2 linked regions of the Drosophila melanogaster genome follow. The protein of the gene in region 2 purifies or fractionates together with the protein of the main gene of each other region. This does not show direct contact. Each region holds a gene or a part of one and is shown on either strand. Other genes may lie near its edges. The genes, in order: Deaf1 and cactin.

What was found.
Region 1: the proteins of cactin (region 2) and Deaf1 purify together in Drosophila melanogaster (affinity purification with western blotting, with the first as the bait; one study listed by BioGRID). This does not show direct contact.

Annotation. Positions count from the first base shown.
Region 1 is NT_037436.4:19,816,245-19,821,465, forward strand, and holds the start of Deaf1 (deformed epidermal autoregulatory factor-1), read left to right. Parts: upstream 1-1,929; 5' UTR 1,930-2,290; coding exon 2,291-2,422; intron 2,423-2,857; exon of another isoform or gene 2,858-2,946; coding exon of another isoform or gene 2,947-2,967; coding exon 2,968-3,766; intron 3,767-5,221. Other genes in the region: fibp, read right to left, coding at 1-37, 102-287, 349-417, 476-576, 627-759, 816-923, 987-1,305, 1,373-1,451 and 1 more. UniProt on the Drosophila melanogaster protein: Transcription factor that binds the homeotic Deformed (Dfd) response element. High affinity binding sites contain at least 1 TTCG motif surrounded by additional TCG sequences.
Region 2 is NC_004354.4:20,421,865-20,426,902, forward strand, and holds cactin (cactin), read left to right. Parts: upstream 1-2,204; 5' UTR 2,205-2,289; coding exon 2,290-4,452; 3' UTR 4,453-4,538; downstream 4,539-5,038. Other genes in the region: Pp4-19C (protein phosphatase 19C), read right to left, coding at 1-130, 195-988; CG15456 (uncharacterized protein), read right to left, coding at 4,782-5,038. UniProt on the Drosophila melanogaster protein: Plays a role in pre-mRNA splicing by facilitating excision of a subset of introns. Plays a role during early embryonic development. Involved in the dorsal-ventral embryonic patterning.

The sequences.
Region 1 (5,221 bases), on a different chromosome or scaffold from region 2:
CATATAGCGATCCCAAAGACATCTGGTTTCTTGGTCCCTGCAAAACATTTAGAGTTGATTATCAAAAAAGTTACTTGATTAATCTAGACAAAAGTACCCACCTTGATATTTCCAGATCCAAAACGCTTTGCGTTATGGAAGCCAAAAATTTATTCACTTGCTCACGGTTCCAGCCATTCTGACGCCAAGGATCAATAAGCTTCTCACAGAGATCGACGAAAAGATCGCGCAGCTCCCGATTGCGATGCAAATTGCAGGCGATGGTGATCAGGGCGCGCCAGTAAGAACTGCAAATCAAAACAGATCAATAGTAAGAAAAGGTGATAATGTCGAGAAATAAGTCCTTACCGAAAGTTGCCATCCAGTTCGTGAAAGGCGCGCTCGAGAAGAACGGGTTTGAGGCGCATGCAGACGAGGCTAAATGCAAGGACTAAACTATATAATAGCTCGTGTGCGGTAGAAAAATAAATCTCACTGCTTAATCTCCTTTTCCTTGTCGAGTAGACAGCGCAACTCCCGCAGGTCCAAGAGAAACTCTTTGTCCATTTCGGTATCATAGTACTCCGGTCCAGTGTGCTGCATTTAGTAAATTAGTTTCGTAAGGAATTAGCAGAGCTAAGTCATACCTGGTAAGTATACGTCCAGTAGATCATGATGGCATGGGAGCAGGTCAACAAATCACTGAAGCTCAGGTATTGCAACTTTTTTTTGGTGGTTTCGAAACGCAGGCAGGCCAGGAAAACAATGCAGGCGTACTTTCTGTAAGAGTGAAAGGTTTAGCTTTTTGAAGTTCAATACATTGATTATATTCATACTTGGCTAGATCGGTGGATATGATGAAGTGTTGCTTGATGTTGTTGGTTAACGTGCCCGGCATTTCCTCGACTGCCTTAAAAATGCGTTTTACGTTGTCAAATTGTCGGCTGAAGAAGAAGTTGAAATATATTAGACTCTACTCTGCCTAAGTAGCGGCCAAATTTACCCACCGAACTGATTTTAGCTTGACGCACGTCTTCTCGGCCACCTCGTCGAGGTCCTTGCGGTAGCGGGACGACAGCTTCTTGCCAAGAATTTCGCGAGCCACCACATCATCGATGGAATAGTACTTCTCGGTGATAAGGTCACGCATTTGTGGCTCCAGCTGGAAGCAGGATTGCTCCATCAGTTTGGTGGGTGCGTTTAGGTATAGTTCAATCAGGGAATAGGTGCGGTAATGATCCAGTACATCCGATGCAATCAGGTCGCTGGGAGCGCCCATGGAGTGACCAAAACCCTTCTGTTTCAGATAGGACACCGCCTCGCTGGCTATAATTGTAAATCGATGGAGCCGTTTGACATGAAACAAGATTGCAATTGGGAGAAGAAAACTTACAGGAGAAGCCTTCGATCCATAGCTGGTAAATTTCTGGATCGATGATTGTATAATTACTTATAAACACATCCACATCGGCCTGTAAGCATTCAGTTTTACTATTTATTATTATTTTGGATCATCAGATAGTTACCATTATATTGCTAGAGTGACCGTTTTCTGAACTAGCTGTCCAATTGGATATATCGAAATGTATGTTAGAGATGAAACACTGTGTAGTTCCAACACAAGCAGCATAGTTTATTCTTCTCATGAATTTAAAACTTTTCCTTGAAAGTAATAAATCGTTCTTGTTTTCATAACATCAATATATCCTATTAATAAACAAGCGAAAATGTTTAGAGTAATAATGGTAAAACCAAATTCGGTGTGATTTTGAGTTTTAAGATCAAGTCATAAGGAAATCTTTAAAATTGTAATTCTCAGAAATCTTAATTTAATATGCAAGATATATAGCTGTAAACTTTCCGATATTTAAAAACCAGAGATGGGGCACAGATAGCGAGCACGAATCACGACTATCGATAGTGCCGATAGCGGGCGATAGCTGCAACGCGCATGACAACTCTAGTTATCATGAGGAAGAAGAGGAGGATATCAACTTTTTTAGTAAATTAGTAAAGTTTAAGCTTAAAAAATGTAAATTGCAATGAACCACCAGCTGTAAATAGGGCAATGCAACTTGAACGCGACCTGCGCGCAATTCGCATGTAAGTCGTGGTGAGCGCTGAAAAAAACGCGGATCGCGGCGGCAGCAACAACAACAACAACAACAGACCGTCCGTCGTCTCGGTAGACGTCGAATAATATACATATATCGCAATAATCCAATTGCAAGTGGTAATCCGATGAACAATTCAAGTGCATTACTATCGTTGGACCGCAGAATAAGTGAAAGTGAACTGGCATAACAATACTATGGAACAGGTTGACTCCTCCACCGAGCTGCACCTGAATAGGAAAGATCTGGCCGCGCTGGCCGAGGATGTTGTGAAAGAAGAGGTGATATTAGAAAGCTCCAGCCATCACCATCATCATCATCACCACCAGGTAAGAAAAAGGAGCAACAAACGGCTGCGTAAGGAGCCCATTTGGTTTTGGATTTTCCATTCGCTTCTCCTTTGGCGGGGTGGTTTTGGTTCCGGACTGTGTGTTTGGTTCAGGTTCTATCTATTGAATCCGAAACCGAATCTGGCTCGAAAACCGCTCCGCTTCGCTCTGCGCAGTTGTGGAAAGTGGGTGGTGGGTGGTTGGGCTAGGTGGCCTGGGGGTGGCGCAACTTGCGCCCTACGGAACGCTCCGTGCGACCCACTGGGCCACAGGCATTCCCCGCTCGCCTTCTCGCCTCCATCCACTCCCAATTTGCCTCCTCCTCCTCGTTTTCCCCCTCCACCCACCGCATTTGTGGCGCACAAATGTTGTGTATACCGATTTTCATTTTTCCCATGCTGTGTTGTTTACTTACATTCGAATTTTCATTCCCGATTCCTGTGCAAATCGCATTGAATTAAATCGCAAACGCCATCAATTGGCCGCTGGACACTCACCCACATACATGTGACGAACGTGGGAATATGTGCGCTATGGTAATGCAGTTGGACACCAAGGTTCGCATGGTCACATCCTCCTCCAACGACAACAGTGGTAGCGGCGGCGCCAGTGGCGGTACAAGCGGAGCGGGCGGAGGAAACGGCGGTGGCGGTGTGGTTTCGGTGCCCGTATCCCTGCCCATCGGTTCGATGATAACCGGCACTACCTTCAATGTGATCACGCCCGACCAGCTGCCCCCTCACTTCAAGCCGATGCTGTGCGTCGACAACAATGGCTACCTGTCCGGCAGCACGGTCAGCATGGGCAACGACCTCAAGACGATCGTCATCCAGCAACAGCAGACGCAACCAGGCGGCGGCGGTGGCGGCGCCAATAATGCGGGCACCAATACGACCGCCACAAATACGATTGGACTGAATCACGATGGCTCCGGGAGCAACAATAGCCACGACAGCCTGGCCACCTTGGAGCACGCCGCGGGCGGAGCGAGTGGCGTCGGCGGTGGCGGCGGCGGAACGGGTGGTGGCTCCTCGGGATGGTCGGAGAACCCGTCAACCCAGCACAATGAGGTCTTCCAGATCCGCTGCAAAACCACCTGCGCCGAGTTATACCGCAGCAAGCTGGGCTCCGGCGGCCGTGGACGCTGTGTGAAGTACAAGGACAAGTGGCATACGCCCAGTGAGTTTGAGCATGTGTGTGGCCGGGGCTCCAGCAAGGATTGGAAGCGTTCGATCAAGTACGGCGGCAAATCGCTGCAGTCCCTCATCGATGAGGGTACGCTCACGCCGCACGCGACCAACTGCAGCTGCACCGTCTGCTGCGACGACGAAGCAGGTGAGTCAGGTGAGACGAACAACAATTACTACACACTCCCCCCTTCTGCATGGCGCACCGAGTTGACCTGGTCATCGGTCCGTCATGGTGTCCCAGGTGCAGGACTCGCGCACAAACCGAATTCATAACACCACAGCTTTAAAAACCCACCTGACTTCTGTTTATCAACAATTTTTTGTTTGCAAACTATAGGGTTTAAACAATTCCAAGTAATTGGAAATTTTACTCAGCAAGGGCTTCTTGGGCAAAAATGTTGCAAGAAATAATATTAAAACTTTCTTATTCTCAAGTGTGTATGTCATATTGTAACCCTATAGAACATCTCATTAAGGAATGAGATGTAATGATGAACTCCAATTAAGAACACAAGTCCGTTTTAAGTTGAAGGCAGCCGTCGGGCTGACATATATTTATTCAATTTCTTCTTTTGATTTTAGAGTAGGCAGAAATGGTTCTGTCAGCTCAACGTCTACAGAGTCTCTCCGATTTTACAGTTTTTTATATATTTGGACTTAGGCTAATCCGCGTAGCTGCGCTGCCGGGTACGCCAGCAGCGGAGCGGCGTTCTTATGTATATCTTATATATCTAGGCTTATCGGGAGAGCGAGATATGTATGTACGTATGTAATATGTATTTGGTCGGCGTGTGAATGCTGACCATGCACTTATACTTTTTGCCTTCGAGTGGGTGATCATGTTACATCCGCCCTGGCCTAACTGCGTGCATAAACATAAACATAAACATAGCAACAAAGTGCTGCCATAAGTTAATATGCTATTTTATTTAATTGTTCTTAATATTGCATAGGCACATACTACATCTCCCTCCTTTTGAAAAATAACGTAACCTAGTGAAGTTATTTTGATTATTAAATGCAAATTATTTTATTTTTATTTTTATTTTGTTTGTGTTTTTGTTTGAACAACAATAGTTGATTTTATAATGCAAAGATAAAAATATACGTAGTGTATGGAAAATTTGTATAAATGATTAAGGAAAATATAAGTTTAAATTCAATCATGAATGAAATTTCTTTAATCTATCTTTATGAACTATTTGTTTTTTGTTTTTATTAGTAAGTAGCGTAATATTGTTATTATCTCCTATGCTTTCTATCTTATAGGGCCCCGTATATTTAAAGTCTAATTTATGACCTACCTCATTTCTTAGTAAAACTTTATCTCCTACTTCTAATTCTATGTCTTTTATTTTTAAGTCATAATTTTCTTTATTTTTTTCTTTGTGTGCTTCAAGAAGTTTTCTTGCTCGAGCATATGCTACCTCTAACCTATATTTACTCTCCTTAGCGTAATCATCTATGTTATATATTGGTTCTATGCTATGTAGTTTATTAAAATGTTTTGGTAAATTACTTGTTCTACCGAAAACTAATTCATATGGACAATAATTATGTACCATAGATTGGGTCGTGTTGAAGCAGTATACGAAATATTGAAGCCATA
Region 2 (5,038 bases):
TTAGAGAAAGTAGTCCGCCTGAGGCTTCTTCGAGGGAATGCCGCGACTCTCTTGCGGAGCTGCCTCAAAGATGACGAAGTCGCGGTGCAGGTACTCATTCAGCTCCAGGATGGCAGCTACATTGCCGCAGCTGCATGTGGAGAGATTCCAGAGTTAACAACACAAGTTCGAAATTGCACAGGAGGCTGACTCACCGATAGCAGTAATTGGGTGCCGACCAGACGGTCAGGACGGTTTCGTTGAAGTGCCACTTGAAGCCCTCCATTACCAACTGGTGTGCACGGCAAATCATGTCGATATCGTTCGTGCGGTTGAACTGGGAGACCACGTCCGAGCCAAAGAGATAGCCAGCGCCGCGCGGCGACACGCCCCAGCCAGTCTGGTCCTCCGGATCGCTCCAAAGCAGGTCGCACATGGGCCCGTCGTGCGGCACCTCCTGCTTCCGGTCGATGCTGCGAATCTGGTCGAGGTACTGGATGGACGGCGACAGCCCGCCGTGCACGCAGAATATTTTGCCGTCGATGATCGCCGAAAGGCTGAGGTAGTCAAAGATCTCCGTGCAGTACCGCCACACGGCCGTCGATCCGTACTTGCGCAGGCACTCATCGTAAAAGCCGTAGACCTGTGTGATTTGGCGCGACTCATGGTTGCCCCGGATCAGCGTGATTCGGTCCGGATAGCGCACCTTCAGCGCCAACAGCAGCAGAAACGTCTCCACACTATAGTAGCCGCGGTCCACGAAATCGCCCATAAACAGGTAGTTCTTCTCGGGCACATCGCCGCCAACCTTGAACAGCTCCTTCAGGTCGTAGAACTGACCGTGGATGTCGCCGCACACGGTCACTGGCGAGTCCACACGCTGCACGTTGCCCTCCTCCACCAGGATCTCGCGGGCTTTGGCGCACAGGGCCTTCACCTCGTTCTCCTTGATGATCTCGCAGCGCTTCAGTTGCTCGATCTGTCGGTCCAGGTCGCTGTAGTCGGACATCTTCACCCGGAGGATGGCGGCAGCCGAGGCGACGGGGAAGCGGTGAATCGGACTGCAGGCGTTGACAGGGCGGGGACAGCGTTGTTAGTCGTTCACCAAACTGGCGCGGGTGGTTTTCAGGTAGCCACAAGGTTGCATAAGAGAAATACTATAAATTTTTGGTCGCTTGAGTGATAGGATAGGGTACTACTCTAGTCGTGCACAGCAAGTCTAGCGTTTTAGAGGCCATAAAGTGCATCTGTATAGCTGCATCCCCCACATCTAAGAATCAAGACGATTCAACTATATTTACGGATTGGGCAAATAATATAAACACACACATTCGCGTTCCCAGCTATTCCACTTGTTGAGATAGTCCATGAGGCTATTTCGCAATGAAAAGCCAACCAACGAGAAAAGAGGCTATATTCTCGATATAACTTCTTTTAGCTGTTTTAGATGGCTGTGTTTTAAGTGAATGCATACACATTTCTTTCAAATACGAAACGTGTATTTGACAGTGGATAGGGTTGGATTTGTTTTAAATCCAGAATTTCTGGATTAGAGATTAGTTCAGATTTTCAGTTGCTGCTGAACTGGAAGTAAGGTAACTAATAGTCGACTAATAACCATCCTTTTGTTTGTGTTTCGGTTTTTGAGTTCGCCTGCATGCGTCTGTGTGCGTCGGCTTTGTGCGGATGCTCGCGTGTGTGTGTGCGTCTGGCTTGTCGCTGGCCTTTTTGCCGCGCGCGATTTTCACCGTCTGCCGTGTTTTTCCTGTCTTCCCCGACACTTTTCCAGAATCACTACTTACTCAGCGCAGTGGCGGGCTATCTGGACAATCCTTTTGCTGGTAGCTCGGCTCTCGTGTTGGCGATTGAATACAAAAAATGCACATAAACGTTTTTGCCAACCGGGTTTCTGCGAAGAGCTGGATTGGCTACTTGCGTTTGTATCGATATATTGAGTAATGGCACTTGCAATGACACATCGAGTCTTCAGTTTCGATAGTGGGCATTACCACGAAGACCCTAAAAAGCCTTTTACACTGCACCAAGGATTCCATCGATAAATTATTTATTTTTGTGTATTTATAATACGCTGCAGCCGAAATTTTAAAATTTAAAGTTTGTAAAAACTAACCCTTGGAAAAATAAATCGACTTATCGGCAAGAGGGAGATGTGTTAATGTTATAATGCTTATATCGATAGCACTTTTGCAATTATTAGTGGCTATCTGGGTTGGTTTTCTCCATCTGGCAACGCTAGCATTGTTTATATTTTATTTCACAAGTTTTATCCCGAAAAACTCATTAAAAAAGATGCCCAAGGAGAAATCCAAGCACCGGCATCGCAGCCGCAGTCGGGAGAGGCGGGATCATCGCAGTCCGGATCCGAGGAGCAGCAGGAACAGGGATCGGGATCGTGAACGCGAGCGGGAAAAGGATCGTGACCACAGAGATCACAGAGACAAGGAACGTGACCAGCGCAGGGAAAGGGAAAAGGACAAAAGCAGGGACAAGAAGCGGGAGCACAAAAGCCGGAGACGCCGGTCCTCTTCCTCCAGCTCATCCCCGTCGAGTTCGACGTCCAGCTCGGTGCCCGGTGCCCCTCGTTCGCCGCTGGTAAAAAGCCCGATGAAGCTTCTCCAGACGCTGGAAGCCCGTCGCCTCGTCGAGCAGAAGGATCGTCAGCGTAAAAAGGAGGAGCTGAAGGCCCATGAAACGCCCGAGGAGAAGCGCGCCCGTCGCCTGCGCGAAAAGCAGGCCAAGGAGCAGCGGCGTCGCGAACGAATGGGCTGGGACAACGAGTACCAGACGTACTCCAACGAAGACAACCCGTTCGGGGACTCCAATCTCACCTCCACCTTCCACTGGGGCAAAAAGCTGGAGGTAGAGGGACTATCAAATCTCTCCACCAAAACCGTAGAGGTACTGTCTCTGCAAAAGCAGTTGGAAAATCGCAGGGAGCTGGAGAAGGTCAAGAAACGGCGTCAGGAGAGGGAGCTGGAGCGGCAGGTGCGCGAGGATGATCTTATGATGCAGCAGCGCGCCAAGGAGGCGGTGCAGTTCCGCGAGTGGCAGCGACAGGAAGATCAGTTTCACTTAGAGCAGGCACGCTTGCGCAGTGAAATCCGGATCCGAGATGGACGTGCCAAGCCCATCGATCTTCTCGCCCAATATGTGGCCGCTGGGAATGAGCCGCTCGAAGAGTGCCTCGAGATGCAGATGCACGAGCCCTATGTGCTGCTAAACGGCCTGCCCGTGGAAGAACTGGAGGACCTGCTGGTCGACATTAAGGTATACGAAGAGCTGGAGCAGGGCAAGCACATCGATTTCTGGAACGATATGATCACCATTGTGCAGGATGAACTGCAGCGCCAACAGAAACTGGAGGCGGAGAATAGTTCGCTCAATCAACGCCGGGATGGCATCCACCAGGCGGTGGTAAAGGATGTGGCCGATATTTTTAGGGGGAAGAATGCTCAGCAGCTGGAGGAGATGCGGCACCGCATCGAGGCCAAGATCAGTGGGCGAGCGGATGGCGTCGACATTAGCTACTGGGAAAGCCTGCTCTCGCAACTCAAGGCACACATGGCCAGAGCTCGACTGCGAGATCGCCATCAAGCCTTATTGCGCGAGAAGCTGTCGCTGCTCAAGCGAGAAAACGATAATGAGACGTTGCAAGAGAAGGTGGCCCCACAAGTCAAGGAAGAGGAGATGGAAACCCAGGACGCAGAGGACCCGGAGGTTGAGGAGGGCTCACCCGAAGACGAGGAGGATCCCCTGAATGAGCTGCGTAAAACAGTGCGTCTTTACCAGGCAGGGAACTACAGCCCGCGCTATATACGCGAAGAGGACTTCACCGGCAGACGAGCGCAAAACGAAGACGTCGACGAACCGGAGGCAGAAGGACTTCTCTACGAGGAGGAGGACGACGAGCGGCGAACACAGAGACAGCGTCTGCTAATCCTTCATCCAGAACGAGTGGATAACAATCAACTGACCCCGCAGGAACTGCGAATGCGCAACGAGGCGAAGCAGGGAATGCAGGGTGACGAGGCCGAGTTCAGTGTGGAGACCACCCTGGATGCAGTGCCGCAGCTGGCCACCGATAAGTACCGACCACGAAAGCCGCGCTACTTCAATCGCGTGCACACCGGCTTCGAGTGGAACAAGTACAACCAGACGCACTACGACATGGACAATCCCCCGCCCAAGATCGTGCAGGGATACAAGTTCAACATATTCTATCCGGACCTTATGGACAAATCGCAGACGCCGCAGTACTTCCTCACTCCCTGCGCGGACAACGGGGACTTTGCGGTGCTGCGTTTCCACACAGGACCACCGTACGAGGACATCGCCTTCAAGATCGTCAACCGGGAGTGGGAGTTTAGCTACAAGCGGGGCTTCCGCTGCCAGTTCCACAACAACATCTTCCAGCTGTGGTTCCACTTCAAGCGCTATCGCTACAGGCGGTGAAGGATTGTCACCGTCTGGCCTAGATTACCCAAACCATCCTTTTGTGCAGTCCTATGTTATTTTCCAATAAAGTGTAAGCCCAGAACAACTAGCAAACTCGTTCCATTTATTGCGATTGTTTAGTTGACTCCACTTAAACTGAAAACTGTTGTTTAACCTTTACCCATTTTTCAATTCATCCATCTTGCAAATAAGGAGAGCATTATAATGTTATATTTATTATTATATATGTATATACCATATATCACAGGATTTCAAATGGGTTCCACAAATGTTGGTGTAAGCGTGAAGCTATCGTGTTTAAACAGTCTAGGCGTGAAAGTAGGAGATCACATCACGACGCAGTCCTTGATGGGCTGCTCCAGGACTTTCTCCACGGGCTCTCCACGCTCCGCCTTCTGCACTTGGGCCAGGACACTCGCGTGCTGGGGAAATGCCAGGCAGGAAAGCTTCGAGTGCACTAGCTGACCGTCGATGGACACCTCGAAGGATCCCCGCCGTCCCGTGCGACAGGATATGTCCAAGTCGGGCGACGAGGCCAGCAGGAACTCGCGCAGCAGGTGGCACTGCCCGCTAAAGTTGCAGA